Stegostoma tigrinum: one gene and its partners. The protein of the gene in region 2 purifies or fractionates together with the protein of the main gene of each other region. This does not show direct contact. Links are inferred from orthologs where the notes say so. Each region holds a gene or a part of one and is shown on either strand. Other genes may lie near its edges.

Region 1 (8,336 bases), on a different chromosome or scaffold from region 2:
TGTTTCTCTTGACTACTAATAGCTGATTTCAAACTTGGACCCCATGTGGAAACAGTAATATTTGTAGCCCGGAGTGGTGTAGAGGTGGGTGAACACAGCAGGCCAAGCAGCATCAGAGGAGCGGGAAAGCTGACGTTTCAGGCCTCGACTCTTCTTCAGAAATCTTCTCAATATACTGTTGCAGCTTGACCTACCCCACATGCGAAACTGTCCAGGATAGAAATTTGACAGGGGTATTTAAGCATGTGACTTTAAGGAAAACCCAAATAGTGGTAATTACAGAGAAAGCTCACAGCTGGATTGGGCTGCCTGTCACCACAAACCATACGCTGTTCCTGGCTTTCCCTTACACCTACATCAAAAGCCAACGCTCTCCATTCCCAAAACATGTTTATTGAGCACTTTCAACCATCCCTCACTTGTTTAGGTTTTAACATCTGACTTGATGAGTGGGTGAGTGAATTTATACTGTGCTAATGTCTTACAAATCTCCAAAGCACAACACATCTTGAAGATACACATATCCCAAGTCTTTAGTCATCGATGGATTAGAATGGCAACCAGTATTGACATTAGACAAATATGACAAGTTTGTTTTGTAGACTTTTTATTCCCCTAAGCAGATTGGATTTACAAATGTAGACTCAAGCATATCTCAACAACAACTCAATGATGTTAAGAACATGTCTCAGTAGCAGCAAAGTTGAGTCAAAATCAAGTCCCAGAGCACACCATTGACTGGCATTCAAGGATACTGCTGAGTGGGTGCTGCTCTGTCACAGGCACTGGCTTGGCCTTGTAGTGTACATTGAATCCCTACAGCGTGGAAGCAGGCCATTCAGCCTGAATTTAGAATAAACCTTTGAAAAGCATCCCAACTAGACTCACCATGCTACCCTATAAACATGCATTTCCCATGGCCAATCCACCTAACCTACAAATCTTTGGACTGTGGTAGGAAACTGGAGCACCCATAGGAAAACCACACAGATTCGGGAAGAATGTGCAATCTCCACACAGGCAGTCACCCGAGGGTGGAATCGAGCCCAGGTCCATGGCATTGTGAGGCAGCAGTACTAACCATTGAACTACCGTGCTGTCCCAACTACAATTTTTAAGGGGATGTGAAAGAGCCTTTGCATTGATTTGAAGAAGGGCAGTGAGTTCTAACAACAACCAGACCAATTTTCAACCTTCCATCACTAAATAAACAGCTTATTAGGACATAGCTGTATATGCGGGCTTGCCATTTTGTCCTGCCATTTTTAAATGTGGTGTCACAGAGTCTTTCACATGTGCTCAAGAAAGAGACAGACCGGGCCTTGCCCCTACATCTCATCTGAGAAATAGCGTCTTCAACAGTTGAACTCTTGTTCATACTACATTGAAGCAGCTGCCTAAATTTTTGTGTTCAGACCCGCAGTCTTTGAAATGAGACAAGAGTGGTACCCCCAAGCTACAGCTGACATACAAGATATTACAGAGCATCTCTGATATTGGAAGAAAGGACATTGATAAATTCAGAAACTGCATTTCCTTGCTAGCCCAATTTATGGAATTATTGGAGGACAGGAGGCCATTCAGCCCAGACTTTGAGCTTTGACCCTTTCTTCCTGTTAGCAATATGAAATATTTCAATTCCATCCTCAACGAAAGGCGTTCTGTGCTTGTGCTGACTCTTTGAAGGAACTATTCAATTAGTCCATTGCCTTGCACCTTCCCCTCAGCTCTCAAAAACGTTCCCTCTTTTAATCTGAATCAATTTCATTTTGAATGGCCGCATCTGCTTTCACTGCCCTTTCGAAGCTGTACATTCCTTTCCACAACTATGTCCATGTACAAAAAAACTTTCAATTTCCCTCTGCTTCTTATGTCAATTTTATCTATTTATCCTAAGCCTGTGCCCTCTAGTTACCAACACTCTGGCCTATAGAGACAGTCACAGTTCTCAATCTCAACCATCTCACTCACAAAGCTGGGTGGGACAGGATGCAGACAAGTTTCAGTGTTATTTGGCTAAGGTTGGACGAGCAGGAAAATGCAAGGCAGGTGATGCATACTGTAGATAAACGTGAGGTTACTTTACTTTAGTAACAAAAATAGAAAGGTAGGTTATTATCTGAATGGTGATAAATTGGGAAAGAGAGTACACTTGTCACTGAAAATATGCATACAGGTGCAGCAGGCAGTGGGGAAGACAATGGAACGTTAGCCTTTGTAATGAGAGGATTCGAGCTCAGGAGCAGGGAAGTCTTGTTGCAACTGTACAGGTTCTTGGTGAGACCACAGCTGGAGTATTGTGTGTAGTTTTGGTCTCCTTAATCTGAGGAAGGATGTCCTGGCTATGGAAGGAGTGCAGCAAAGGTCTACCAGACTGATTCCTGGGTTGGCAGGACTGAAGTATAAAGAGAGACTGGATCAGTCAGGATTATATTCTAACAGGACTAGACAGTGTAAATTGGGAATGATGCTCCTAATGACTGGGCAGACCAGAACCAGGAGTCACAGTCTAAGAATACAGGGTAATCAGTTTAGGATTGAGATGAGGAGAAACTTCTTCACCCAGAGTCTTGTGGAATTCTCTTTCACAAAAGGTGACAGAGGCCAAAACATTGAATGTTTTCAAGAAGAGTTAGATATAGTTCTTAGGGCTAAAGAGATCAAAGCGTACAGGGAGAAAGTGGGAAGAGGGGGCTGACTGGGATGACCAGTTATGATCATATTGAATGACAGAGCAGGCTTGAAGGGCCAAATGGCCAGCTCCTGCTCCTATATTTCAAAGGAACTCGCTTGCCCTCAGTTCCCAAGGAAACATCTATTCAGCATGGCCATTCAAACGGCCTTCAGTGCTCTGGGTAATTCTGGTTGAGAAACCATTCCTGCCACAAAATAACTCTGTGCTGACTCAAAACGGTGGCAGGAAGTGTCTCATGGAGAAGGGAATGTTGCAGTCCACAAAACACTGACACAAACAGCATTGGCTCTCTAATGTCCCTCACCGGCTCCACAAGGAAATTTTCTCTAATTGGGAGTGAATGACACACACACACACACACACACACACACACACACACACACACATACACACACACACACACACACACACACACACACACACACACACACACACACACACACACACCATCTGTCCCACAGCACTAACCGGTGGATTCAGAGTGACTCCACTTCACTCAGCAGGCCATGAGTTAACATTCATCTTCAGCAGTCCTTCAGCAAATCCTGGAAACTGTTTTGAAATGAATTGCACTCTGAAGGTTAAAGTTTGTCTTTCTGTGTTTGTCTCCTCTCCAAATGTGTTCAACATGTCCTGTCCTGACACGATTCATTATACAATAAACTGACATGGCCCTTATATTGGCTCTCTCTGCTGCCTGGGTTGCTACGGTGGTATGTATTTTGGTGTCATGTTGCACTAACTTCCTCCCTGAAGTTTGTGCAGAATGCCAGAGTACTATTACAGCAGTAAAATGTCGACATAATGCATTGTTAACCCTCTTCGGTCATCATGGGTTTTGAATTACATCTCCCTTCTGCAGTCAAACACCGGTGAGAGGTCTACAGAGTCTAGTTGTAGTGGGAGCTGGGTCAGAGTTTGCTTCTTGAGCTTCAAATGCCTGGACTCTGCTGATTGACAGGAGTCTAAAGGAATGGCTTCAAAGTCACAACTGCACTCCCTCCCCCACCATCCCCACACCCCAGGGGGACAACTTGTTCAGCGATGTTCTTGGGAATCAAAGTCTGGCATGTGGATTTCTTAAATTGAGAAGTTTCTCTCCCTCTCACTCTCTGCTGAATTGTTAGCCATATCTGTTACTCTGAGTACAAATGGGGTAGTCAGTCAGGAATATAGGAGAACGCACACAAACAAACAAGCCACTGCAGGACGTAAGTGGTTGGGAGGGCGGCACGGGGGAGAGAGAGAAGGAAGGGAGGAAACACCATTCGAGTTAGCTTGGGATACAAAACAACATTTTTTTGCTCAAATTTCTGCCAAGCATCTTTGGACACAATTCCAACAAGTTTTTCCATTGACATGTTCATCAAACAGTAAATCACAAATTCTTCCCTCACATTGATTGCCTGGAAATAGCATTTGCAAACCAACAGCAGTGTAATGTATGGGAGAATAACAAAGGATTGCTGAATTGTCGTTCTGAGAAACAAAGCCGTTAGACAATGATCTATGATAATAAAATGTGAGGCTGGATGAACACAGCAGGCCAAGCAGCATCTCAGGAGCACAAAAGCTGACGTTTCGGGCCTAGACCCTTCATCAGAGAGGGGGATGGGGAGAGGGAACTGGAATAAATAGGGAGAGAGGGGGAGGCGGACCGAAGATGGAGAGTAAAGAAGATAGGTGGAGAGAGTATAGGTGGGGAGGTAGGGAGGGGATAGGTCAGTCCAGGGAAGACGGACAGGTCAAGGAGGTGGGATGAGGTTAGTAGGTAGCTGGGGGTGCGGCTTGGGGTGGGAGGAAGGGATGGGTGAGAGGAAGAGCCGGTTAGGGAGGCAGAGACAGGTTGGACTGATTTTGGGATGCAGTGGGTGGGGGGGAAGAGCTGGGCTGGTTGTGTGGTGCAGTGGGGGGAGGGGACGAACTGGGCTGGTTTAGGGATGCAGTAGGGGAAGGGGAGATTTTGAAACTGGTGAAGTCCACATTGATACCATATGGCTGCAGGGTTCCCAGGCGGAATATGAGTTGCTGTTCCTGCAACCTTCAGGTGGCATCTTTGTGGCAGTGCAGGAGGCCCATGATGGACATGTCATCTAGAGAATGGGAGGGGGAGTGGAAATGGTTTGCAACTGGGAGGTGCAGTTGTTTGTTGCGAACTGAGCGGAGGTGTTCTGCAAAGCGGTCCTACATTGGGGAAACCAAGCAGAGGCTTGGGGACCGCTTTGCAGAACACCTCCGCTCAGTTCGCAACAAACAACTGCACCTCCCAGTTGCAAACCATTTCCACTCCCCCTCCCATTCTCTAGATGACGTGTCCATCATGGGCCTCCTGCACTGCCACAAAGATGCCACCTGAAGGTTGCAGGAACAGCAACTCATATTCCGCCTGGGAACCCTGCAGCCATATGGTATCAATGTGGACTTCACCAGTTTCAAAATCTCCCCTTCCCCTACTGCATCCCTAAACCAGCCTAGTTCGTCCCCTCCCCCCACTGCACCACACAACCAGCCCAGCTCTTCCCCCCCACCCACTGCATCCCAAAATCAGTCCAACCTGTCTCTGCCTCCCTAACCGGCTCTTCCTCTCACCCATCCCTTCCTCCCACCCCAAGCCGCACCCCCAGCTACCTACTAACCTCATCCCACCTCCTTGACCTGTCCGTCTTCCCTGGACTGACCTATCCCCTCCCTACCTCCCCACCTACACTCTCTCCACCTATCTTCTTTACTCTCCATCTTCGGTCCGCCTCCCCCTCTCTCCCTATTTATTCCAGAACCCTCTCCCCATCCCCCTCTCTGATGAAGGGTCTAGGCCCGAAACGTCAGCTTTTGTGCTCCTGAGATGCTGCTTGGCCTGCTGTGTTCATCCAGCCTCACATTTTATTATCTTGGAATTCTCCAGCATCCGCAGTTCCCATTATCTCTGAGACAATGATCTATAATGATCAATTTGTACTTGGGCTTCCCCTGGCCATAAGCAGGCAAGGTGCAAATACACAACTAGCACATGACCAGGAGGTTGCCAGAGTCTTTACACAAGCAAGGTGATGCAGACAACAGAGTTTCAACGTTCACAAAGCAAGGCCAATGGAAAAGTACTAAAAGGCTTTTCCTAGAACGTTGTAACTGGATATAATTTAGATTATGAGGTACAGAAACCACGGAGCGGAGATCTGTACGATGGGAACCAGCTACAGGAAGGTCACATACAGATGTCAGCACAAAGCTGGAGATGAGCTGTTTTTTATACACTCTGGAATCTGGGATTCTGTCAAGCCGTGGTACAGTAATGTGTGAGTGGCAACCTTATGAAACAGCAAGAAAACCCCTGCAAGGTACAACTTTTCACTCACTCAACTCCCTCCATTGTGAAAGCGAACAGGAATCAGCTCACTACTTAATGAACTATCACTCCCATACTCCCACAGGAAGGAATGAAGCACAGAACATAAACGCCGTCCAAGCAACAACACAGCAACAATGGGACGGGTAATCAAAGCCACCAGTCTCTGTTTTTGCGCACCTATCACATGAAAGAAACCACGTGACCTTTAACCTTATTCCTTGTACCAGTCCCAAACATTTGCGACTCTTTGCATCCTTGGTTGGTGTTTATTCACTTCTCCGCACGCTTCCTCGGGAGACACACATGGAGCATTGGAAGGATTTGCAGATGATTCGCAGGACCAGTGTAATCCATCTTTCCAGGCCACGCCATCCTTATACCAGTCTTTAAACTTTTGTGAGCCCTCACAATGTTTACAATCAGAGAAGATGTCCTCATATCCAATGGATGTTAAAGGGTTATTTAGCTCAGTTGTCGGACAGCTGATTCGCAATGCAGAGTAACACCAATAACATGGGCCTAATTCCCGCTCAGGCTGAGGTTATCAAAAAGTTTGCAATGAGCATCCTATCTTGTTCACATCAGCTGAGCTTAAGGTTAACCTTAGCCTAAGGTGGCCTTTAGGTTAAACTTACTGCCAGTTGTCTCTCACTCCATGTCCAATGAGACAGCAGCCCTAACGCCCCCTGGGACTATAGCGACTTTACCTTTAACATGAAGGGCCTTCCTTCTCAACCTCACCCCTTTCCTGAGGAGTGGTGATTCTCAGGTTAAACCACCACAATCTCTTTCTAATGAAGCTGCAGCTCCAGGGCCCATTGGGAGCGCAGCAACTTTATTTTACTTTTTACTGTATGTTAATACAATTACGAATTGGGAGCTTTGGTCTTCACTGCACCCTCTGACTCTGGGGGGGCATGGTGTGTCCAAGCACACCATGCCCCCCCACCAACTCATTCACGGAAACAGATGTCACTGATGGGACCAGCATTCACCGCCTTATTGTCAGATGATGATGAATCTAACTTTGGCTTGCCAGGCTATTTTAAAGGGGAGGGCAGTTTAAAAGCCAACCACATTATTATGGGTCTGGAATTATGTACAGGCCAGACTGGGTAAGGGTCACTGAAAAGTGTTACAATGCAGACAGACACCATTTGGCCCATTCTGCTTGCATCAACTCTTCAAACCAGCTTCATTTCCTCATGCCAATCTCCTAATCTCCTGCTTTAAATCCACCCCCCCCCATACCCTTACATATTATTTTTGTCTGAATAATCATTCAATATGCTCTTGAATGCTTCTTGATATCACATTTCTATCCTACACTAAAGGAAATCTGTGAATGAGATGGATGCTGTACTATTGTTCTATAGTTTCTTGGTCACCATTATTGTGGCAAGATTTTTAATCCAGTCTGAAAAGATAACTCGATTGAAAATGCATTCCTCCAATACTGTGTTGAGATTTACTCAAAACTTCCGAGCCCAAAGCCCTGTGAATTACGGTCTGATAACATAACTGCTATATTTGCACTCTCTCATCCACTATCGCCAACCCCAAGGCTCCTTTGTCTCACAGTGCCAACAATGAAAGCTTATGGATTTATAGAAATCACTGAACCCAACATAATAACATAGCCATGGATATTTTCTGACAAGCAGTCAGCACATTCACAGAAGCAAGGTTTATTTCAGTATATATATGTAATTTCTTATATTAAACAGCATCACAGACATGAAACAAATGCAATGTAAGATTAAGAGGACGTTTTAGATATAATGAAAACTAAATATTTAACAGGCACTGCGCCCATTCCTACAAAATCACAAGCTGTCAGTAAATGTGCTGACTTCGATTTAACAATGCAACTCATTCTGGAGGACAGGGCTAATTCTAAGTGACACATACAGCTGCCGTGTACTGGTATTATTTTTAGACAAGGCTGTGTCTAACAAGCTCTCTGTGGTACACGGGTAGTCCATTTCACTGAATTTTAAAATGCCCCTACTCTGTCACGAGGAGGCAAATGCTTTGCAAGGATCAACACCCCTTGGGTAGAGAAGGAAACCCAAAGCAGCCGTGCGGTGTGACTGCCGTTATTTGAGTGGGCTGGAAGGAAGGATAAAGGGGAGGTAGTCATACTTCAGACATCAACTGCACCGCTGAGCATCACAGCTAAAGGAAGTTACACTGGCCTCTGACAGACTACACGTTCAGAAAGAGCAGGGCTAGGTCGCATAGCTCTCTCTCTCTCACCTAGGCAGGCAACTAAAGGAGCATCAAGCAACTGAG
Region 2 (8,033 bases):
TTCAAGTTCTGCATAGTAAGTATCACTAATCTATCCTGATCCATTTGTATCTACAGTCAAGAAAGCACAACACCACCTCTAGTTCCTCAGGCAGCTATGGAAATTCAGCATGTCCACAATGATACTTACCAATTTTTACAGATGCTCCATAGAAAAAGCATCCTATGCTGATGCATCACAACTTGTTACGGCAAATGACGACAAGAAATTAGAGTTGTGAACGCAGCCCAGTCCACCATGAAAACCAATCTTCCACCCATCGATTTCTGGAGGAGGGTCTAGGCCCAAAACATCAGCTTTCCTGCTCCTCTGATGCTGCTTGGCCTGCTTCATCCAGCTCTACACCTTGTTATCTCATCTTCCATCCATCAACTCAGTCTACACTTCCCACTGCCTTGGGAAAGCAGCCAAAGTAACCAAAGACTCCTCCCACCTGTTATACACTTCCATTGGGCAGGGCAGAAGGTCAAAGTTTGAAAACATGTACCAACAGATTCAAGCACAGCTTCAATACTTTTCACTGTATCTTGATACATGACAATAATAAGTCAAGTTAAATATTTAGACTTGGAGTGGTTGGTGCATCGAGATGCTGAGAAGATTTGTTTTAAGATGTATCTGAATTGATTAAAAGACATGACTGTAGAGAATTGTAAACAATGTGACGGCTAGCAAGAAGGGCAAAACCTAGTGCAACAGTTCGAAGTAAACCCGACTTGCAAAAACTCAATAATACATTGAGCTATGTATACCCGCAAACTTGCACACTTTACAACTCATTAACCTGTTGCAGTCAGGCCTGATTGGAATGGCAGATCAGCGGTAAATGTTACCGTAACAATTAAAAATTGCCATTTAGGGTAACCATTTGAGACCATTCAGTTGTAATTAAACACCAGCTACAAGGTTGTTTGTCTGTGATGAGGTACTTAATGTTATCGAAGACATGGTCACTCATTTTACATTACTAGCATCTGCAGTATTTGCTTCTGATTGCGTTGTAATTTAGTGGCCGTATATTATTTCAGGAACGTCACAGGTGCTACGTAAATGCAGAGTTATTAACTGATCTTTAAATAATGAGATTGAACTTTTAGTCTTTGATGTGATGGATTTTTAATTTTCCCACAATTCTATCCAGAAGTGAGATATCATGGCACAAGAAATATTACTGTTCATGATAATGGAATAGTGTAGGTTAGATGGGCTTCAGATTGGTTTCACAGATCGGCGCCACATCGACGGCCGAAGGGCCTGTACTTCACCGGGCTCCTCCGGGGACTATTAACCCCTCCCCCCGCGAGGCGGGAGAAGGGTTACAAAGTGCATAAACTTTACAAACAGGTTTTGTCCCGACTTCCCACGTTACTCTTTTGCTCAAAGAAACATCCCGGTCAACATGCCGTTGCTTCAATAACTGACTCTAGCCGTCTGCAAGGGAACAAACGTTGGACCCACTGCAGTGACTCTTGCCAGACATGTGGACTTTTGCACAGTCGGACCACGACAGAGTACTATTGTTCCCAAAGTAATAGGACACTCTGAAATGGATACTGCTCGCTGCCTAGCCTCGCCGCGGGGAGGCGGGGGGGGGGTGAAACTTTGTGCAAATTTCAGCTTCCCTCAAATCGGATCAAACGGAAAACTATTTCCACAAATGTGTGTTCGGATCGCACTGCTTTTATTTATTCTTTCAAAACCATAACATCACACGTCTTTCTCAAAAAAAATCAACTGTTAAACCATCTCTCTGCGTAAAGATGAATTTACTTTGTTTTTACAATACACAAACGAAACGAAACTTTAAAACATGAACGGTATTTTGTGGGATTGAAATCTTGGAATGAGCTAGTGGAATACGAAATCAACGAAACTCAAACATTGTAAAAGTTGAAAGTCCGGGTAAGTGCATGGAACGGGTGTCGCCAAATACAAAGCTGGTCAAATACAAAGTGCATCCAGTAACCCACTCATTCCAGCGATGGTGGCAACTAAATATTTAAATTTAACATCACCTCCACATTCAAATGAATTAACTGCTCAAGGACAACTGTCTCAGTGAATGGATTTTATTTTAAGTTTTAAGGACGGCCCCCGTTCACCATGAAACACTCGGGATTGCAGAAGGCGGGCGTGAACTTTGCCCACCGCATTGCAAGCAGGCTTCTGCACTCTCTCAGGTCTCCCTTCAAACTTTCAAAGTTCAGGCGCCTGTCACCACGGGAAATGAGCAGCTTTATAACCAAGCCACAACAAAACCAGCTCCTTTTCACCACATTCCGATACCAGGATCGACGATGCTGCAGTTCAAAGATTTCGGTTCCTGTCACATTCAGCAGTTCGGATTTGAATCAAATCCTGTCACTACTACACACATGCCTGGGCGAGAGTTACAACATAGTAATTTCTTTTAGGCATTTGGGACGTAAAGTTACACTGGAAATAGTTTCACCCAGCAACATGGCACTCAAAGTGAGAATGATGTTGGCTGAACTTACACTCCTAAACTTCAAACACAATCCTGAGGACCAAGGGCTGATTATCCCACCGTTGCAATTTGATCCGCTGGCCTTTTTCCCAAATTAAATTGGAAACAAACACATTGCACCCCCCCCCCCCCAATCCCTGGGACAGGGTTTGTTTTTTTAAAAAGGGGAGCGGGGGGAGGTGAGAACATAAACTGGGAATCACTTACTTTAAGTAGTATCGCTGGCCCGAGGGGGTTTTCGCCATTTCCCAGCCCGGAGGTAGAGGTACATCGTCGGGAATCTCATAGGAAGCCTGGCGGAGGTGAGCGGAGGCCGGGGAGGAGCCGCTTCCCTGGGACACTGCAGCAGCGGCGGGCGAGGCCGAGCCCGAAGAGCCGGAGGACCCCGAGGCGGGGGGAGCGGCGGCGGTAGCGGCGGCGCTGAGGAGGGAGGCCGGCGACGAGTGAGCCCTCACATGCTGGGGTTGCAGCGGCGGAGCATTCGGCCCGTCTGTGCTAGCCTGGCGGGAGTGGCTCTTGGGCTCGGGCTGTTTGAAGAACGAGTCGGGAAGTTTGCGGAGCCGCATCGGGACAGACTGCGGCACGTTCGAGTTCTTGGGGTTCATCACGGCGTTGAAGAGAGCCTCCAGGTCGGTCTCCGAGTCCCCCCGGACATGCACGATCTGGTGGCCGGCCCGAGGCACCGCCGCCCCCGGCCCCGTCCCGGTTCCCTGCTGCTGCTGCTGACTCGGATCCATGGGCCAAACCGGCCTGTCCCTGTACTGCCGCGTCCCGGTGCCACCCGCCTGGTGCCCTCCCTCAGTCAGCCAGCCAGCCCCCTCACTCCCTACCGGAGGTTTCTCTCAGGCCGGTGATAACGGCAGGTTTTTCCAGCCCCACATCGACGCGCTCCACGAGTGGAACCTTCTGGAACTCTCCGCCCGCCCGGTGAACCCGAGCCCGCTCGCGCTCTCTCCCTCAGAGCCGTGTGTGGCGCGCGCACTCCCTTTTTTTTACCTCCACCCCCCCCCCACCCGCGGGGAAAGTTTGCAGCGACTTTCACAACTTTTCCTGCTGCGCACGTGACCGCTCACGTCACGTGGGGCGGAGTCCATTCCCGGGCCCCTGGCGGGGGGTGGGGGAGAATTGTGAGTGTAATGTTTAACTTAGATTGGGTTTCACCTCAAACCCAGCCGCGGTGGTACAGTTTGTACGGTACCGACCTCAGTGATTTCACCTCTCCGCCCCCAATCCCTGCCTTCTTCTGTCTCTCCCTCTTCTCCCTCTCTCTTCCCTCCCCCCACTTTCCCCATCTCTCTCTCCCCAGCCTCCCTGTCTCCCTCCCCGCTGTCATCTGTGATCTTCACTGCTTCCAGCCGCCTCACAGGGCGATCCCATCACGTTTGCCACATGAAGGGGCGAACTTACACTCTACTCCATTTGGGAAGTTGCTGTCTGTACTGGCGGTTTCCGTGCTATCATAAGGGACGGTGTATTTAAAACGGGACTGAAAAGGCAGAGTGAAGACTGCACTGGGACGGCATTGTGGCTCAGTGGCTAGCACTGCTGTTTCACAGCGCCTGGGACCGGGATTTGATTCTGGACTTGTTGGGCCAAATGGCCTCTTTGCAATGTAGGGATTCTGATGATCCTGCTCTGTGCCTTGTTACCCATTACAAACCAGAAAGCACCTGAATTCCAGGCCCTCAATAGGAAAGGAACCCCGCAGCAATGAATTCAGGGTACAGTCAGTAAAAGATACATTGCAATATTTGAAATCAGGCTGCAAAAAGAAAAAAAACCTTATATTTTCTCCCTAAAATCTTCTCTCATTGCAATAAGAAAGGTAATTAAAACCGCTCAATGCCCAATCGCTGAGGAATAATTTAGAAATATTGATTAGAATAAGTGTGAAAATTGGTCCGAACAAAAGAACAGAAATGTATTATTTTTATAATAAACGAGTAAGTATTTGTTCTGGTCAAACATCATCGACTTGAAACATTAACTTTGGTTCTGTCCCTAGATACTGCCGGATTTGCTGAGTATTTCCTGTATTTTCTGTCCGTCTTTCAAATGTTTCAGATCTTGTGAAGAATTTGTGGTTCGTTGTTCATGATGCTTTGGTCAGGTCACGGTTTTACCTGTCTCCCTATCTTTTAACTCACCGGCTCGACACGAGGTAGTTAAATATCGTTGCACGAGTCAGGACAACAATTTCACAGAAAATGATAGAATCGCTCAGAAAAAACATGAGTTGCAGGTAACATGCGAGAAAGCGTCCCATGATGTAAGTGCATAAACTCATAAACGTACAGATTTTTCCAAAGTTTTAACAGTGTAAACGTAAACTGTGGTTTTGTTATTATTCTGAACACCGTACCGCACAATATTTGAGTTTGAGGAAGGGAAAGTTTTCATCACATTGTTTAACGGCTGAAGTTCTCCACCCTTTCCCTGAATTGTATCGCATCTCAAGCCATAAAACAAAGTAATTTTATTAAGGAAGAGTCTGCAAACGTACTCTTTCCGAGCTTTCTTAAATCCTTGTAGACAGTAATCATTTTGGTAGCTAATGGCGGTTCCCCTGAAGATATGTTTAACCGGCCCGACTTCCCAGACCACACACATGGCAGATGTGTTTTCTGTAATCTTTTAGTTGGAGCTGGTGAATACAAGGCAATATATCAGGGAAAATCTATCACCGTGGGGACTGCTCTCAATTGTTACCGTTTCATTTCACGTTTGTATATTACAGATATGACGAAGTGTTTCAAAAAGTGGATTTGATTTATTTTGGATGCGTGATGACAACATTTGGTACATTTTAAAGTTTTCGCTTGATGGGACAAGGCCATATTGGTAGTGGTGAGATCGACCAAAAGTGGGAAAAAAAATCACTCCCTGTACCCCTCCCCTCCAGACAACAACGGATACGGAATGTACCCATTTCTAAATGGAATTATTTACCACCTTTCTTTAAAATAGAGCAAAATTAGTATGTGTTATAGCCCCATAACTTATCCTGGTCAAAAATGGTATAACGGGAACACGGTTTCTGTCGGAAGAGGCAAGCATTAATATTGTTGCACCAGATCGTTGGATGTTGCCGAATCATGTTTTAAAAATATTTTAATAAATGCTTTCCACCAATATTATTTCATGAAGCTGTGTTTTCCAAAAGTCTCTTGTGATTTTATGATCATGTCCAAATAATAACCCCCTTAAATCATAGCCTGTTCCTTATGGTTACAATGAATCAGTTACTAAGGCAAAGTTATAACTCAAATTCAAAAGGATGCCGTTTTGGACCTGCAATTAAAGTGTAGGTCACATGATATCATGCATTACAGATGTGAAACAAATGATTATGGTAGAAAAACTCTCAAAAGGAACAACTACTCAAAGAAATCACAGCTATCAGGAAAAACTAAAGCAATGATTGGAATTATTCTCTACTCCCAACTTCAACTTCATAACAGATTTTTTTCACGTTTGTTTGTATTATTTATCCTTTCATGCTTTGACTGAGAAGACAAATTCCTTCAGCCAGAGAGTGGTGAGCCTATGGAATTCTCTGTCACAGCAAGTAACTGAGGTCAAAACATTGAATGTTTTCAAGAACGAATGAGATAAACTTCTTAGAGCTCAAGGGATCATGGGGTATGGAGAGAAAGTGGGAACATATACTGGGTTGGATTATCAGCCGAGACCATATTGAATGGCGAAGCAGATTCAAAGGCTGAATGGCCTACTCCTGCTCCTGTTTTCTATGGTACTATATTTAATCATCATGATCGTCCAGCATTGCTAAATTTTAACTCTCACAAATAAAGGAAAGCTTGTAAAATGATTGCAAATGCTGAATCTGCAATAAAGGACACAAAGGCTTGGAAATTTTAAGTTTCTGTATGTTACTGTTGTGTCGAATGGATGCTGAAGCCCCAAGTACATTAGGCAGGAAGCATGCTGCAGTATATTGGAGCCATGTCCTGCAGAACACATGCCTGAACTATTTAAATCATAGAATCAAAATACGGCAAAGACAATAAGGACAACCATTTGGCTCATTGATAGGAAATAGCAAGAACTGCAGCTGCTGGAGTCAGAGTTAATACAGTGTGGAGCTGGAGGAACACAGCAGGTCAGGCAGCATCAGAGGAGCAGGAAAGTTGACATTTTGGGTCGTGTCTCCATTTGACTCATTGCTCCTGGGCTGGTTCTTTTGAACAGCATGCCCTACTCATTACTGTTCACAATATTGTAAAGTTTTTTTTTCACAAGCCCCTGCACCTCTTGTCACAATCCCTAAATCTGTATCCTCCCTACAATATCAGGTAGAGCAGTTTTCCTTTGTCTATCTTTTCTAATCCTGTCATACACTTGTGTACCTCTTATCAAATTTCACCTCAATCCCTTTTGCACTGAGGGCCATAACCCCAGTTTCTCCACCTTAACTAATTCCTGGAACCATTCTGGTGATACTTCTATTTATGAAGTACAAGATTCTACATATTTTTCCAACTAATTTCCTCAAAATGCCTGCCTCCTTCAAACATTTATCTATATGAACCTTCATGCTTTTCACATTCTTATACAGTGTTTGGAATTGTAATGTTTATATTGCTTCTCTAAAAAGGCTTCTTCTCATTTCTCCCTATTAAATTCCATTTGCCAGCTGCCATGTATTTGTCTGTTCTCCTGACCTATCTGTGTCCTGTTGCAGTTTATTTGTATCTTCTTCATTGTCTTCCACATCTGCAAGTTTTGTATCATTGGCAAATATTGAAATTTTATCTTGTTACTGAGTCTTCTGCCACAGTTTTTGCTTATTTATTTTATTAAAGCATTAGTAATTTTGAACACATCAATGAAATCTCCACTTAACCTTCTTTGCTATAAAGAGAACGTCCCCAGGTTTTTCAGTCTTTCCATTTAACTTCAGGGGCGCATCCATAGAACTCAATTGAATCAGTTCTGAAGAGTCAAATTTGACTTGAATCATTAACTTTGTTTTTATCTCACCATGGATGATGCCAGATCTGCTGAGATTTTGCAGCACTTGTTGTTATTATAATAGGTCGCTTTTTTTCTATATTCTCTTGCAGGACATGGGCATCATTGGAAAGGCTGGCCTTCATCTACAATCTCTAACAATTGAATCGTTTGTTACACAATTTCAAAGAGCAGTTAAGAATTAACCATATCTCTATGTGCTTAGACCAAATCCAGAAAGGAAATTAGCTCTCCCCGGGAAGGAACTTATGACCAGAAGCCTTAAGGCTGAGGGATACAAAGGAGAGCTACAACCAAGAAATCTGGAGTGTGAAGGAAACTGCACAGATTCCAAAATAAAACAAAAGCTAGCCAAGCCCGAAAGAGGAACTCATCATGCTCTTGCGTGGTTTGGAGGTGGGTAAAGAAACTAATCTCTCTCGAGAAGTCTATTTTTCGTGTTTGACTGAAAAGTAGCTAGGACCTCTTAAGACAACATGGAAGCTTGCTAAAATTACAAAATCTGGAAAGCTATGTGAATATCTTGATGATACTAAAACTCAGTATTTTC
Region 3 (8,529 bases), on a different chromosome or scaffold from region 2:
CACTGTTCTGCTGTTTGGACTGCAAGCATATAAAGGTTGTTCTGTGCAAAATGCAGAACAATCATTTTATCTGAAATTATTTCTGCAAGTTTTAAATAAAGAAAACAATGGAATAAACATTACTTGGCAAAACAAATTCTACATTATTTCTTTATTATGCACAAATGCGATCAGGCATGAAAATGCCCACTCAGAAATATCAATATTTTCTAAATGCAATCATATTGTATTTTGTATTTATATTTCAGAAGGTTCTGATGACTTTAGATCACAAAATGAAATCTAAAACAAAATTAGACTTTATCAAAGCATATGAGTAAAAAGGTCAGATTATTAAAATATTCTATATCCTTGCCTATTAGTACATACAATCACGATTAAACTATTAGTAATCTCCTGTGACATTTTACTTAGTCAGCCAGGTAAACTTGAACAAAAGGATTGTAAGTCAGTTAAAACAGGGTGCACAGACATAATTCAGTGGCTGACATGAAACCATACATTCTGGCCTTACTTTTTACATAACACTTTGCTTTTATATGATATATAGTTGAAAAGAAAAAACATGCAACAAGAAATGATGTTCATTGGAACACTGAAGTTTCTTCTCAGTACAGGCTGAGGAACAAGGAAAAATAAATCTGAATCATTACCATTCATTGAAGGCAATTTGCTTTGTGTAATCTTCAAGTAAGTTTTTTGCAGAGCTGCACATCCAGAATAAAAACTTAAAAAAGACCAGGTTGTGAGCACACTGCACAGGAACATTCAGGTTATTGCACATAACACAGCTCAGAGGGAAGATTCAAAGGTGTAGGGGGAGGTGGGGTAGAATCTTATTGCAGTTCACATAGGCAGTTTGCACTATAAACATTGGAACTTATCACAAAAATTTGCAAAAAGTATGGACAGATACAAAGTTTTAAGAAATACACAAGTAGTTTAGATCCCCTCAATTTAAATAAAAATAATTTACAATGATACTGATACTGTAGAGAAAATTCAGATAATGTCTGCCAGAATACTATGTCATAAATTAATCCTGCATTGCAAGTCATAAGAATTTAACATTTTTTGTGAAGACAATGTTAAAAACTGAGGTTACTGTATTTATCCAACATGTCATGTAATAATAGATTTTCAGTGATTAACACTACATAGTCACCTTACTAAAATATTTTTGCATGTTGTTCCTCAGTAAACCTACAACCATTCAAAACTGGTTGCAAGTCACCTGTAGCCTGAGCACAACACTATGATAATGAAATGAAATTTCTTTGAATGAAATATTACTGTTATGTTGAATTAATAGTTCAGATGATGAGTGGTGCAAATATTCACTGACATTATTTTTTGAATAAATGATCTTTTGCAAAGCATTATTGATGAAAAAGGGATTTTAAGATATTCCCAGGAAGTGTACTTATAACAACTTCTGGACATGTGAATTTGTCTGACATCCCTTCACTAAGTGCAATTTTTAAACACATACATGTATACATACATATATAATTACCAAAACACTGCTAAATGGCCTACAAAGCGTGCACTCTAAGGACATTATAAAATTGGCTCCTAATCTTTTACAACGTCTCAAAGGTCACAAGCATTACACATTAAATATAACTCCGTGTAAAATTAAAAACTTCTCTACATAACATGTCTGACACTAGGTCAGTGAAATCTGAATTATAAATAAATATCGTTCCTGTCAAATGACTGCGCATGCCTAGATCTCAGACTACAAATGCCTACGTGAGTTTGATTCTTGTCAACCTCCCACAGTAAAAGCATCAAAAGGTAAAAATATAATTTATTCCATTAAGCTTCACTATTCTCATCCTGGATTGTATACAATTACGCTATCATAAGCGACTAGACATGCTTTAATTATTCTGTTTCCAAAGTCTCATTCATCATTTTAAAAACGTTTACAACTTATTCCCGTTGTCAATTGTGGATGCATAAAACCGTGACCATTTCTCTCACGACTAGAACATAGCAACAGTGAAAAAAACTTTCAAATCTTAATTATAGTTACAAGTAAAGAGAGGATAATTGGGCACAAGCTAAACCTACTGCTACCAAAATCAGAATTGATTGAAAAAAGAAAGAATATTCGTTATTAAACGCGATTATACATAAATAACGAATAAATGTGATTATGTTCTCCGATCACTGTCGCATTTAAAAAAAATAGTACGGACAAGAAGGGGTAAACTTAGGTCATCCAAAGTCGCCGATCAAAATAAATAAATCACACTAAATAAATTTGTTTATATTGCAGATAAGAAACAACATAGGTGCATATTTTTAAATGTGATGCTGGTGCTGACATCCAATCCCAAACTCCATCAATCCACCGTTAGAAATTTGGGAAATGATAAAAACTCAACGGTACAAATGGTAAATTAAGTCTGCGTTTCTCAGAAGTGGATGTTGGATCGATCAGGATAACAAAAAAAAAGTATGAAAAAAATAACATTTTTCGAGAAGCGGGGAAATGCTTCAGAAATTCCCTTAACGCCGTACAGAGACAGTGACAGGGGCAAAGAGAGCTTTGTTAGCGGAACAATCTTCCTTGACGTGAATCTCAAATCACAACGAGATGCGCAAGGAAAAAAAACCGGAAAACAATTAAAATAATCTACTATACTTCGGGGGGGGGGGGGGAGTCACATATCTTTCATCGTACACACAACCAAGAGGGGAAAGAAATCACCACAACCCAGCAAAGAGGTGGGCAAGATGGGCCGCTGGTGCCCATCAGATGCGAGCCGTACTCCCATTACCAAAGCATCGATACTTGCGATTATTTGCCCACTGTTCATACCTGTTGCGTCCTTTCTGCCGGGTTCTTCATGACCGCTTGTCTGAAGTTATTATCCACGTAAGACGCCATGGTTCCGACCTCGACCCGGTGCGGGCCTATAAAATAATAGGGCCTCGAGTCGACTCGAGCCTCCCTTTACGGCAGCGCTACTTTCCTAATTCTCGGAGGGGAGAGACGCCTGGGAATGTCTGCACTCAGAGCGCAGGCCCGAGATCGGCCTCAAGTAGCTGGAGCAACCCCAAAGACGTCACCGCGATCAGAAGCTTCTGTCGGCTTCTGGAATGTGAACGCCAACTCGGAGCTGCCCTGACAACCACAACCGTCCGCGCGGCACCCGCCGCTCCCACTCTGTACAAAGCAACGACTCTTCGCAGTAATACCCGATTCTATCCAGCTCCTTGGGATGCTTCATAATCCATCGGATTATTTTTATAATTAAACCACAAATAATTTCGCCTCGTTGTCTTGTCCTGGACAGCTTCGGGAATAATCCAGAAAATAACAAGTGCTTTCTAAATGCGTTGTCTAATCAAAGCGCTGTTTAAATGTCGATGTCAAATTATTTCGTTGTTGTTTAATTTCAATCAGATACGAACGACCTGCACTGGACCCTTTGTTTCATCACAAAGTGAAAATCTCCTGGAAACAGAAAGGAGATGGAGGAGGGACGAAAACTAATGACAACTAAACTCTCGCTAAAAGCTCGGCCAAAAACTCTCTACCGCCTCCTCACTCAGATCATCCAGAAAAAAATGGTGCCTTAATTTGTTGTCTCCTCCCAAAGCAGCCAAGGGGCAACGAGAAAGAACATACAGCACATGCCATAAAGATGACAGGATGTATCACGAGGTGCTGTGGTGTGACTATATCTAACCATGGAATCGTTAAAATTAAAAGTGCAAAAGTCGAACGAGAAGAGGGCAGACACGTTCATGCTTCTCGCCAAGGGTTAAACTCAGCGTTATCGTTATGAAAACAGCGGGTTTCAACATGTTCCATTTGTTTACGAAGTTTATATATATAAATGAAATTACAAAAAGCTTATTTTTAAAAATACAAATAGCCAAACTGTTAGTGAAATTCAGAAATAATGAATTAAGAGGAATGAGTGTGGCACTATCAACAATGATGTTACGGTTCTAAGGAAAATCCATGCTCCAGACCACAAGGGGGCACAGGTTCAAGGTGAGAGGGGCAAGTTTTTCACATAGATGGTGATGGGTGCCTTGAATGTACTGTCAGTGGCGGCGATGAGAGCAGGCACGTTAGTAACGTTTAAGGCGTATCTTGACAAGACACTTGAATGGAAAGTGAAAAGAGGGATAGAAAGCGTTAAGTAACGGGTCCAAATAAGGACTGGAATCGACGCAGGCTTGGTGGGCCAAACGGCCTGATTCTGCGCTGTATTCTATTGTGTAAATGGTTCCGTCACTGAATGTGTTTGTATTTAAATGAGGAACAGAGGCTGTTGCATTCTTGACTTTTTTTTAGAACTCCCAATAGTGAAAAAGAGATAGGTAAACAATTTAGTTGCCAAATTTCATTGAAAATGAAGAAAAAATTAAATAAAATATTTTACTTTAGTCCTTTTTTCTCAATCCAATTTTCATTAAGTTTGCTTTCTGAAACTGATTTAACATAAAGTACAATGTTGTAATGCCAGTTTCTGATTCAGAGCCTGCTTATTGCAGAGGTGTACAGTTGTCTACCTGTTTACAAAACTTCTGTAGTAAATGGGGAAATTTTTGGCTCTTTTCATCTATCATTTGCTATCTATCATAAGAAGTCTACCAGCAATGGTAAAGAATGGTCATTGCCAATCATTTGCTGCTGACTACAAAGTATAATCCTTTACCATACATCATTTCCTACTTTTAAGATAACAAAGTGTGGAGCTGGATGAACACAGCAGGCCAAGCAGCATCTTAGGAGCACAGCTCCACACTTTGTTGTCTTGGATTCTCCAGCATCTGCGGTTCCTACTTTAATTTGTTTTTTTGATGGAAACTCAAAACTGTGAAGCTCCTGTTCTCGATTAAAAACAAAAAGAACTACGGATGCTGTAAATCAGCAACATGAGACTGAAGAAAGGAAATAAAACTCTTGATAAAACTGTGCTTGCAAAGAACTAACCTAAAAACATGCAACTGTCTTTTCATTCAGATCCTCCTCTACTCCAAAAAATAGCTAAAAGGTAAAGAGGAAGAATTCCAACACATGCCGTAAAGATGAAAGAATACGTCACAGGATCCTATGGTGTGGCATATTGATCCATGGAAAAGTTAAAGGAAAAAACACAAAAGCTGTTAAGCATGGAAAGAGGAAAGTCTTGTTAATGTTCTGACCAAAGGTTACATCTGAAACTTAAAAAAAGTCTTCATTATAAGTTTATTTCTTTATTTCATTTTCAAAATTATTCATGAGATTTATATATTTTAACAAGATGTTAAAGATATCACTTTTTTCCTTAGTCATATTAAGTTACTTAAAGCTCTTAATATTGTTATTCCACTTTTGTTACTTAGAAAGCAATGGAAACTTTCAAAATAGGAGGCCATTCAAAATATTGTGTTCATATTTTCTCTTTAAAAGAGAAGTGATGCTTTGTCCCACTATACTTACTTTTTATCTATGTATGTGCAAATTCTTCATCTCTATGACTCAATAACTGCAGGTGCTGAAGATCTGAAACAAATAAAAACAGAAATTTCTACAAAAAGATGGCAGGTCTGGCAGCATTTGTGGATAGAAAAGAGAGTTAGCATCGAGGCTAGAGGCCCTTCTTCAGAAGATTAAACCAATACCTTTCCAAATTGAAGTCCATTTTGACCCTATAGATGCTTTTCAGTAACTTCCACCCAATGATACTCTGGTACTATTTCTATATTTAATGAGGATTAGATAAATTGATTTTTAAGAATGGAACTTGATGCACTTTTTAATGAGTGTTGTGTATGTTTAAGAGTACAAAATTAATTACTAATTTAGGACAGATAATTAATAGCTTTGTCTTTTCAGCATCATTATTACACAAATCTTACTGTTTCTATAGATTGTGCAAAGAAAGGACGATCAGGGGCTTAAACAGAAGTTGATGGAAAAGCTCAGCAGTTTTGGCAGCAGCTATGAATATAAAATCTGAGTTAACATTTTGGGTTCGGTGACCCTTCCCCATAACTGATGGTAGCTGGGAAAACATCAATTTATACGCAGAAAATAGGGAGGGGATGGGGTAGGGAGTAAATGGTAGGATAGAGCCTGAAGAGAGAGAACAGCAGTTGGATAGACAAAGGAGGTGATACCATGTGGCTGGAAGGGCGAATTGTTGTTAATAGAGACCGTTAGTGACTAACAGTAAATAGCATGTAATGGCAGGCCACGTGATAACAAGACCTGGTGTTTGGGGTAGGGGGCTAGGACATGGAAGAGTTTAGGCCATAAAATTATTGAACTCCATATTGAATCCGGAGGGCTACAGCGTCCCCAAGGGGTAAATAAGGTCTTGTTCTTCCAGCTTGCATTGAGCTTTGTTGGAACACTGCAACAAGCCAGAGTCAGAGATGTTGGCCAGGGAGCAGGGTGGTGTGTTAAAATGGCAGGCAACATGTAGCTCAGGCTCCTTTTTGCGAGCCAACTTTGCCATCTGGACACAGCATCCAGTTCATCAAAGTTGATTTTACAAGAGGTTTGCCTGACAATTTGAGTACACTGTAAGATCAACAGCGGCATTTGTTGCACAATAGTCCTATTGAATCCAAGGGAAGTAGTAGAGGCTTTGGTAATGGAATTTATTATGTGCTATTATGAGTTGTCGATACACATTCAAGGTCTCATTGCAGCAAAGGAGTGTGATGATAACAACTGCTCCATACATGAGAATGCAAGTTGACTTCCAGAGGTCATTCTTGGCAAACACTCATTACTGTAATTTGTGAAAAATCTGAACTGGCAAGCTGATCCTGCATTGGATCTGCTTATCAAAGGTTATTTTTTGAGAGAGATGGCTATTAGGATAGGGGAAGCACTCAACACAATTGGTAAGGCCAATTTTAGAATACTGTACAATTCTGGTTGCCCTTCAATAGGAAGGATGTTAAACTTGAAAGGGTACAGGAAAGATTTACAAGAAAGTTTGAGTTGTAGAAGGAGGCTAAATAGGCTGGGGTTTTCTTTTCCCTGGAGCATTGGAGGTAATCTTACACAGTTATATAAAATCATGAGGGGCATGGATAGGGTAGATAACCAAGGTCTTTTTCCTGGGCGGGGGAGTTCAAAACTAGAGGGCATACGTTTGAGGTGAGAAGGGCAAGATTTAAAAAGGGGTAATGTTTTCAATCAGATACTGGGGTATATGTGGAACGAACTGCCAGAAGGAGCAGTGGAGGCAGGTGTGATTACAACATTCAAGGGCACATGGATGGCTTGAATATAAAGTTTAGAGGGCTATGGGCCAAATGCTGGCAAATGGGACAAGGCCCGATTTGGATCTGTAGTTAGCATAGATGACTTGGACCGAAGGGTCTGTTTCCGTGCTGTGGGCTTTGACTATGACTATATAAATATTTATACATGGTTGACTAGATACGGTGAGTATTTTTATCCTTTTGTGGATCTGGGAGTGCTGGCAAGGCCAGCGTTTGTTGCTTATCCCTAATTACCCTTGAGAAGGTAGCAGTGAGCTGTGTACTTGAACTTCTGTAATTCATTGAAAATGAAAGGGAGTTCCAGAATGTTCATGCAACAACAGTGAAAGAGCAAATACAGTTTGCAGTCAACATCATATGTGGCTTGGAGGGGAGAGACTTGCAAGTTGGAGTGCTCACATGCATCTAACCTATTTGCTGCCCTTGTCCTTCTAGGTGATGTCATTAGCTTTGAGAGTGAGAAGAAGCCTTAGTAAGTTGTCACAATACATCTCTTATATTGTAACATTGTTGCGACAGTCCATTGTTGATGCCTAGAGTGAATGTTTAAGATAGGGTCTGATCAAATGACAATTTGTTGAGTTTCAAGTGTTGTTGGAGCTCCATTCATTCAGGCAAATAGAGAGAATTTCATCACACTCTTGTCTTATGCCTTGTAAATGGTGAATAGACACTGGGAGACAGGATTCCCAGCATTTGTTCTACTTTTGTAAATGCAATATTTATTTGGCTGGTTCAATTCAGTTTCTAGACACTAGTAATACTACGGACGTTGATCGTGGTGATTCAGTTATGGCAATGTCACTAAATGTCAAGGGAAAATGGTTAGATTCTTCCTTGTTTGAGATGTTCATTACCTTGCACTTGTTGGACTTGAATGCCACTTGCTACTTATCAGTCTGAGTCTGACTGTTGTAGTGCTTACTGCTTTAGTAACAGAAGTTTTGAATGGTGTCAAACATGTGCAATCATCAGTATACTTGCCCACTTCTGACCTTACAATGAAAGAAAGATCACTGATGAAACAGCTGAAGATACTGGGCCGAAGATACTATTACATGGAACTTCTGCAACAGCATCCTGTGACTGAGATTTTTAGTTTCTAATAACCAAAACTACCTTGCTTTGTGCTAGGCCTGACTCCAATCAATGAATACTTTTCCCCTGATTTCTATTTACTTCAATTTTGAAGGAGATTCTCAAGGCTACACATGGTCAAATGCTGCCTTACTGTAAAAGGCCGTCATCCTCACCCCACCTCTAGAATTAGAT
Region 4 (7,930 bases), about 45 Mb from region 2:
CCTTTCCCCCATTACTCTTGATTATGGATTAAATATCTGTACGTCTGTCTGTCTTAGCCTTGAATGTACTTAACAACTGAACTTCTATTGCCCTCTGCTGTAAAGCATGCCACAGTTTCATTATCCTCCAAGAGAAGAAATTCCTCATTATCTCTGTTTTAAGTGAACAACCACTTTGAAGTTACGTCATCTGATCCTAGACTCTCCCACAAGGAGATACCTCATCTACCTCGTCTACCTCGTCAAGCTCTTTAGTAATTTGCTACACTCCAATAAAGGTCACTTCTCATTTTCTTGAACTCCAGTGAATATAGGCCCAGCCTACCAACCTTTCCTTCATGCTGGAACCAATCTATTGACATTTTTTGGACTGCCTCCAATGCCAATACACCTTTCCTTAGATAAAGCAACCAGAACAGTGTTTTCTCATTACTCCAGGAGTGGTCCAACTTATTTCTTATAGAGTTTCAGCAGTAATTCCCTTTACTAGACACTATTTTCAAATAAAGACCAGCACTGCATTTGCCTTCCCAATCACGTTCTGAAACGTATACTAGCTTTTTGCAATACATGTATGAGGACTCCCAAATCCCTCTATGTTTTAGCTCTCTACAGTCATTTGCCATTTAAATAACTGTCAGCTTCTTTATTCTTCTTGCCAAAGTACATTAACTCACATTTCACACAAATTTTTGTCCATTCATTTAACGTATCTGTGTCCACCTGCAGGCTGTGTGTCATCCTCCCATCTATTTTTATGTAATCCACAAACTTGGTGATATATGTTAATGAATTGGATGAGGTAAATTAATGTGTGGAAATAATTGTGGCCCTAACACTGAACCCTGCAGCACACTGCTAATTACAGGTTGCTAGTCTGATAATGTCTTCCCTCTCTTATTCCGAACTCTGTCTTCTATTAGTTAGCTGTTCCTGTACCCATGATAATTTACTACCCACAGCAATATGCATTCTGGTGGAAGGTTAGAATGGTTCAATCCATCTCAGAGGTCAATATCAGAGATGGTAGCTGCTAGGGTTAGTGGCTGACCTGTGAGAAAAGAAATGAAGATTATGCACACTCCACTTATCTTATTAAGTTGAGTAAGAGATTGTTGCATTTTGGACACACATCTTTCTCATGTAAGCTATAACACAGGATAATATACATGATGCATACATTCCTCACTGTGCTAGTGCAAATCTTCTTGAATAAGTGCTCTGGTCACTGCCCAATCATTACACCATGCCCCACTACCTATGCATATCATCACACACCCTTCCATAGTTATGAACTCACATCAGGAACAAAACTTGCAGAACAGAGAAGGTTGTTCAGCTTCTCACAGAGTAGGAAAGTCCTCACATGGCTGCTGACCTCCTCTGCCACCTCCATCCAGACATTCTGGGTCGAGTGTGCAGGCCTCCTGTTCCTATTCTGCAGAATGTGGACATTCTGCCATTCACAGTCCAGAGGTGAACATCTAATGAGTCATCATTGAGCCAGAGGCCATCCAAACATTCACCACTTTCATTGCTTGTCGCTCTAGGTTTGTTTGATCTGATGTGGTGGGTGCCCTGGATGAGGAACTGGATACTTTCATCTTTGCTATTAGGAAGGCACAAGAATCATCAGGATGATAGCAAATGCTCTGCCTACATGTTCTCCTCTTAATTTTGTGCAATTAGTGCCTCAATGATGATAGTTTGCCAGTCAGTTTCTGGTTCTGAATATGCCTCCAACCAGGGTTGGCAGCCCTTTAAACCAAATGCTGGAACATACTTCTGGTTCACCACCGGGCCTCACTACTGCAGGATATCCTGCCTAAGGTCTGTGATTTATCACACGTCCTATGGGCCAGACACGGTTGACTGGCACTTCATTTGTTCTGGAAATAATGACATTGCTGGCACCAGTTATTTTACATTCTGTCTCTTCTACTCCACAAGGAACCATTCAATTAAGGCTTATACATTTTGACAGGCATTTTTTGACTTTTGGAGATTTTGATCCTCTCGTTGACTAATGTTTATCCACAAGCAAACTTAGAACATAGAACATAGAACAGTACAGCACAGAACAGGCCCTTCAGCCCACAATGTTGTGCCGACCATTGATCCTCATGTATGCATCCTCAAATTTCTGTGACCATATACATGTCCAGCAGTCTCTTAAATGACCCCAATGACCTTGCTTCCACAACTGCTGCTGGCAACGCATTCTATGCTCTCACAACTCTCTGCGTAAAGAACCTGCCTCTGACATCCCCTCTATACTTTCCACCAACCAGCTTAAAACTATGACCCCTCGTGCTAGCCATTTCTGCCCTGGGAAATAGTCTCTGGCTATCAACTCTATCTATGCCTCTCATTATCTTGTATACCTCAATTAGGTCCCCTCTCCTCCTCCTTTTCTCCAATGAAAAGAGACCGAGCTCAGTCAACCTCTCTTCATAAGATAAGCCCTCCAGTCCAGGCAGCATCCTGGTAAACCTCCTCTGAACCCTCTTCTTCAGAGTCTCTAGATGATATGTGTATATGAATATTAATTGAGTTATTTTCATTCCCAAATGAATCTATTGGTTTCGAACAAATAAATAAAGTTTAAATCTATTTGAACCCAATTCTTACATTGTCCAAATCATACATAAATGCTACTAGCCATTAATTAAATACTTATGATTTGATTCACTGGCCACAGTTACCAGTAGAGTCTAAATGAAATTCAAATTTAAAACAAATTGCAAAGGCAAGTTTGTGAAAAGGATTGTTAACATAATCGGTAATGAACAGGCATACACGCGCCAGCACTGTGTGGTTGACAGCCATACTAGAATCATAAATCAAATACGACATGGAACTCTGACAATGGCTGAGATAGAGTGGAGGTAGTCATTATTAAGCAGCAAAGCAGTAAGTATCAAAAATATTAAAACATCAAATTGCAGTAGAATGCTTTTGGAATGGTATATTTCACATAGTTAAATACACTGTCATAACTTGATAAACTTAAGAATGGAGACAATCAGAATTCAGGCTGCATAAAAGATGGTCTAAACATGTCCTGTTAAATTATTCCTGAAAAAAAGGATCAAAACATGCATACATAGCATTAAAGAAATTACAAATTAACATATTATATACTGTTATTTGGCCATCTCTGTAGGCAAGCAGGATCCAAAAATGAATACAGCTGACATTGTAATGTAGCAATTAAGCAGCAACAATTCCACTTAACAGCTGGTTCCAAGAATAGTTTCAGGTAAACCATATTCTGATCGAAATAATTTTAAAACTCTAACCTTTTTTAAATGTTGTGCTTATCACCTTGTACATCTGACCTGTGACTGATAAAACCCTCATAACACTCATAGGTAAAGACACGAGGAACATTATAGAATCAGAAGACACCATACACAAATTCATTTTCTTCAAATCATATAGAAACAAAAAAATTCAGCGATCATTGAATGAATTTTTATCTGTTGATTCGTCTAGGAACAAGCCCCATTTTAATGTTCTTACCTTGTGTAGCGCTTTTGATGATAAACATTAAGTAACACTTACTTTACTATCGTCAGCATTTGAAACAAGCAATGAACTCTGAGTTCGTGTAATCGATCATGAGTCAACTGAGGGTGGCTCTTTCAGGAGTATGTCTGGACTTGTGTCTGCCACTGATTGAACCTGCTGTCATCTGTTAGTATTACTGCATGTTTATACTGATCCAGTATAAACTAACTAGTGATTAGATTGCCAAATACATCCTCACATCTTTTAATGATTCATGGGTCTAATGCTGCACTAGGGTGGGGATGAAAACATATTCTGATAAAAATGTCTTCTAAAAAATATAATTCAAGCTTCTCCAAAACAATCAAGCTTCCTGTTCACGGATTTGATATAAGCTTGTTTCTTTCATGCATAGTAATTCTAACAAGCAATTTTTTTTCCCCAAAATCAGATAGCTGCCTTGTAATGATGTCAGAATACACATGAAATTACATATCCCTTCATCTGCTCTCCAAAGCTCTCTTCGTGAATATATGTCTGAACACGTTGGATGCTTTTGATAGTTGGGTGAGTGCACATTCTTTCACTTGTGTTCCCAGTGAAAGCATCATCGAACAATTTGTTGAAATTGGCTGCCACAACCTTACACTTACTAGCATTTACAAATAGATAATTATATATGTTCAGCTTTAAAATCAGTTCAAATGATTGTTGGAGATACAAACATAGATACTAGAAAGACAGTAAATGAGGAAATACCTCTAAGGCTTTCCTTTTGTGCAGATATAAAAGTCTTTTCTTCACGTAGCACAGATGTTTCACTGCCCTATTGGAAAGTTAATGTTTCAAGTCAGATATTGTCACGCAAAATTGGAATAACAGGGAATTCCAGTTTGTTTTAATGCTAACACAGAGGTGATTCAAACAATGATTGGTCTTTATATATTTGGAAGGAATGCCAATCCTATCATGAATTTAGATGTTAACCAAGGTGACCTGCAGTGGACAATATTTCAGGTTTTCCAGGCAATCTACTTAAAATAGGCAAACCTGACGAAAACAGGATTAGTAACATCTGCACCTCAGTATTAACAAACAGGTGGAATAAGAACCAGGTGGTGGGTGGGGTTGGAAAGATCAGCATCAAGAGAAGGTAAACAATGCATACACTTCAGCAACACATTTGTATATCCAATCTCAAGAAGAATGTCTCATCATCGCCATGTTAATTCCCTATTTTTCATGTGATTATCCTGATTTGGAGAAGCATCACCATCATGAACATATTTAACTGAGGCTCTATCATATGCCATTGCATCCAATCTGGAGTTGACAGCTGCTGCATGGCTATCCCAAGCTTCAGGAAAGTTGGCATTAAAGCAGCAATGAAATTGAAAGTCACTTTACTGGCATAGGTAATGTTTAGGAGGGCAGGATCTGAATAAATGCTCAATGCTCACATCTCAGCTGAGGTTTCCCAGCCCCATTGTGAATGGTCATGGGGGCAATGACAGGGGTCATACAGTCAAATGGGTGGTGTTGGCACAGATGACTGATGTCATCATACCTGGTCCATATTTTGGCAGAAATTGAATGGTGAGTGAAGTGCGAATCATGTGCATTTCTGGAAAACTGGCAAGTGAGTTACCCACGGTTGCTAAACAAAGCAAATGACCTATGCAAGCTTATTTGAGTTTTACAAAAGGGGAGTCTGAGCTCTGGTGGGTTTTACAGCAGAAATGGGATCCACTGCTGAGCTCAATGCTGTACTTGGCAATTATCAGGGCAGGTAGGGAAGCTGGGGCATCACAGCTATAGCATATTGCGTCAAGAAGGGTGTTTAGGAATCAGGATTTCAAATTGAGCCTCAATAATACCATATGGCAAGTGGCACATGCATCTATTGAGAGAATGTTGGGAGGTGCCAGGGTAGATTATGTTGAGAAAGCATGTGTTAGAGTAACAATTCATACTGAAGAGTCCCCCTGTTATGCGATGACACAGCAAACCTGGCAGAGAAATAGATTCAGCTGTGGGGATTTGGATAATGGCAACCTCTTGGCCACCTGCAGATGCAGCCTTGGGTTGAGAAACTGGAAAATGGCTGCCGGGCCCTGTCAGCAGTCACCAAAATGGAAAGAAAAGCAACCTATACCAAGGGTCCATAGACAGAGGATGCACCATCTCTAAATACAGTGAATTCTGCCACCTTCCTGACAGGCTGTCACAAGTCTTTGGACCATGATGATATTCAAGAAATGGCTTTAGTGATTACGTGATGCTGTAATGAGGACAGCCACTTTGGTCCTTTTTTTTTTTAAAAAGCACTTCTGCTTCATTCCAGGAACTCATTGGAGTTACAGAACTAAGAAAATTAAAGCATAGGAACAGGCCATTTGGCCCTCCAAGCCTGCACCAACATTCTGCCCATCACTACTAAAACTCCTTACCTTCCTTGGACCATATCCCTCAATTCCCATCCTATTCATGTTTTTGTAAAGACATCCTTTAAACGTCACTATAGTTTCTGCTTCCACTATCTCCCCTTCCAGAAGTGCACATGATTCACAGTTCACTCACCATTCAATTTCTGCCAAAATATGGACTAGACATGATGACATCAATCATCTGCAAGTACCAGGTGCCCACCACCCTGTGTGTAAAAAGCTTGCCTCACACATCACTTTTAAATCTTGCCCCTCGCACTTTAAACCTATAACTTCCTGGTAACTGACTCTTCCACCATGGGAAAAAGCTTCTGACTGTCCACTGTCCATGCCCTGCATAATCTTGTAGATTTCTATCAGGTCGCCCCTCAACCTCCGTCATTCCAGTGACAACAACCCAAGTTTCTCCAACCTCTCCTCATAGCTAATCCCCTCCATACTATGCAGCATCTTGGTAAATCTTTTGTCTACCATCTCCAAAGCCACCACATCCTTCTGGTAGTGTAGCAACCAGAATTAAACACAGTATTCCGAATACGTCCTAATGAAGGTTCTATAAAGCTGCAACATTACCTTCCAATTTTTAAACTCACTGCCCCAGCCAATGAAGGAAAGCATGCCATATGCCTTGTTGACGACCTTCTCCACTTGTGTTGCCACTTTCAATGACTTGTGTACCCATACATCCAGATCACCCTGCTTATTAGTACTCGAGGGTTCTACCATTTACTGTACATTTTCCATCTGGATTAGACCTTCCAAAATGCATTTTATATTTTTCCAGATTAAACTCCATCTACCATCTCTCTGTCCAAGTCATCAACTGATCTATATCCTGCTCTATCCTTTGACTCTCCACAATTCCATCAACCTTTGTCTCATCAGCAAAACTTACTAATCAGTCTAGTCACATTTACATCCAAATCACTTATATACAAATATCTGACAAATAGCAAGCATCCCAATACAGATCTCTGAGGAATGCCACAAGTCATAGCCCTCCATTCAGAAACATACTGCTACCCTCTCTGTTTTCTATAACTGAGTCAATTTTGTCCATCTTGCAAGCTCACCTCTCATACCATGCGACTTTACCTTCTGTAACAGCCTGCCAATGAGGGACCTTGTCAAAGGCCTTACTGAAGACCATTATAGACAACATCCACTGCCTAACTCTCAACCATTTTCATCACTTCCTCAAAAAAAAACTCAACCAAGTTAGTGGGACACACCCTTCCCTTCACAACATCATGTTGCCTCTCACTAATATGCCCACTTATTTCCAAGTGGGAGTAAATTCTGTCCTGAAGAATCCTCCCAAATTATTTCCCCACCATTGACATACCCATTGATGGCCTGTAGTTGGCTGGATGATCCTTGCCACCCTTGTAAAACAAAAAGGGGATTTGTTGATTTTGTAAATTATTTAGCAAAGTTCTTGCCTAATTTATGGTCAGTATAGGAACATCTACACAAGCTCACTGTTAAGGAAGTGTTGTGCTAATGGAACACAGAACAAGAAGTAGCTCTCAGAAGATTCAAAGCACGGTGGCTCAGTGGTTAGCACTGCTGCCTCACAGCGCCAGGAACCCAGGGTTGATTTCACCTTTGGGCGAGTGTCTGTGTGGAGTTTGCACATTCTCCCCATGTCTACATGGGTTTCCTCCCACAGCCCAAAGATGTGCAGGGCAGGTGGATTTGTCATGCTAAATTGCTCATAGTATTCAGGGATGCCTAGATTAGGAGGGGGGATGCTCTAAGGGTCAGTGTGGATTTGTTGGACTGAAGGGTCTGTTTCCACACTGAAGGGAATCTAAATAAACTGGTGATCCCCCCCATGCTTGGGGGGGGGGGGGGGAGAGAGAGAGAGAGAAGAGGGGGGGGGGGGAGAGAGAGAGAGAGAAGAGGGGGGGGGGAAGAGAGAGAGAGAGAGAGAGAGAGAGAGAGAGAGAGAGAGAGAGAGAGAGAGA

The links.
Region 1: the proteins of yap1 (region 2) and rassf8b purify together in Homo sapiens (affinity purification with mass spectrometry, with the first as the bait; 3 studies listed by BioGRID). This does not show direct contact. The link is inferred for Stegostoma tigrinum from reciprocal best matches to the Homo sapiens genes YAP1 and RASSF8.
Region 3: the proteins of yap1 (region 2) and rapgef2b purify together in Homo sapiens (affinity purification with mass spectrometry; 3 studies listed by BioGRID and IntAct, with this or other methods). This does not show direct contact. The link is inferred for Stegostoma tigrinum from reciprocal best matches to the Homo sapiens genes YAP1 and RAPGEF2.
Region 4: the proteins of yap1 (region 2) and amotl1 purify together in Homo sapiens (affinity purification with mass spectrometry; 8 studies listed by BioGRID and IntAct, with this or other methods). This does not show direct contact. The link is inferred for Stegostoma tigrinum from reciprocal best matches to the Homo sapiens genes YAP1 and AMOTL1.

Annotation. Positions count from the first base shown.
Region 1 is NC_081378.1:48,631,939-48,640,274, reverse strand, and holds the start of rassf8b (ras association domain-containing protein 8b), read right to left. Parts: upstream 3,357-8,336; 5' UTR 3,164-3,356; intron 1-3,163.
Region 2 is NC_081359.1:1,795,194-1,803,226, reverse strand, and holds the start of yap1 (transcriptional coactivator YAP1), read right to left. Parts: upstream 3,491-8,033; 5' UTR 3,226-3,490; coding exon 2,696-3,225; intron 1-2,695. UniProt on the Homo sapiens protein: Transcriptional regulator with dual roles as a coactivator and corepressor. Critical downstream regulatory target in the Hippo signaling pathway, crucial for organ size control and tumor suppression by restricting proliferation and promoting apoptosis.
Region 3 is NC_081354.1:38,387,293-38,395,821, forward strand, and holds the start of rapgef2b (rap guanine nucleotide exchange factor 2), read right to left. Parts: upstream 3,560-8,529; 5' UTR 2,903-3,559; coding exon 2,834-2,902; intron 1-2,833. UniProt on the Homo sapiens protein: Functions as a guanine nucleotide exchange factor (GEF), which activates Rap and Ras family of small GTPases by exchanging bound GDP for free GTP in a cAMP-dependent manner.
Region 4 is NC_081359.1:47,170,197-47,178,126, forward strand, and holds the start of amotl1 (angiomotin-like protein 1), read right to left. Parts: upstream 3,607-7,930; 5' UTR 3,526-3,606; intron 1-3,525. UniProt on the Homo sapiens protein: Inhibits the Wnt/beta-catenin signaling pathway, probably by recruiting CTNNB1 to recycling endosomes and hence preventing its translocation to the nucleus.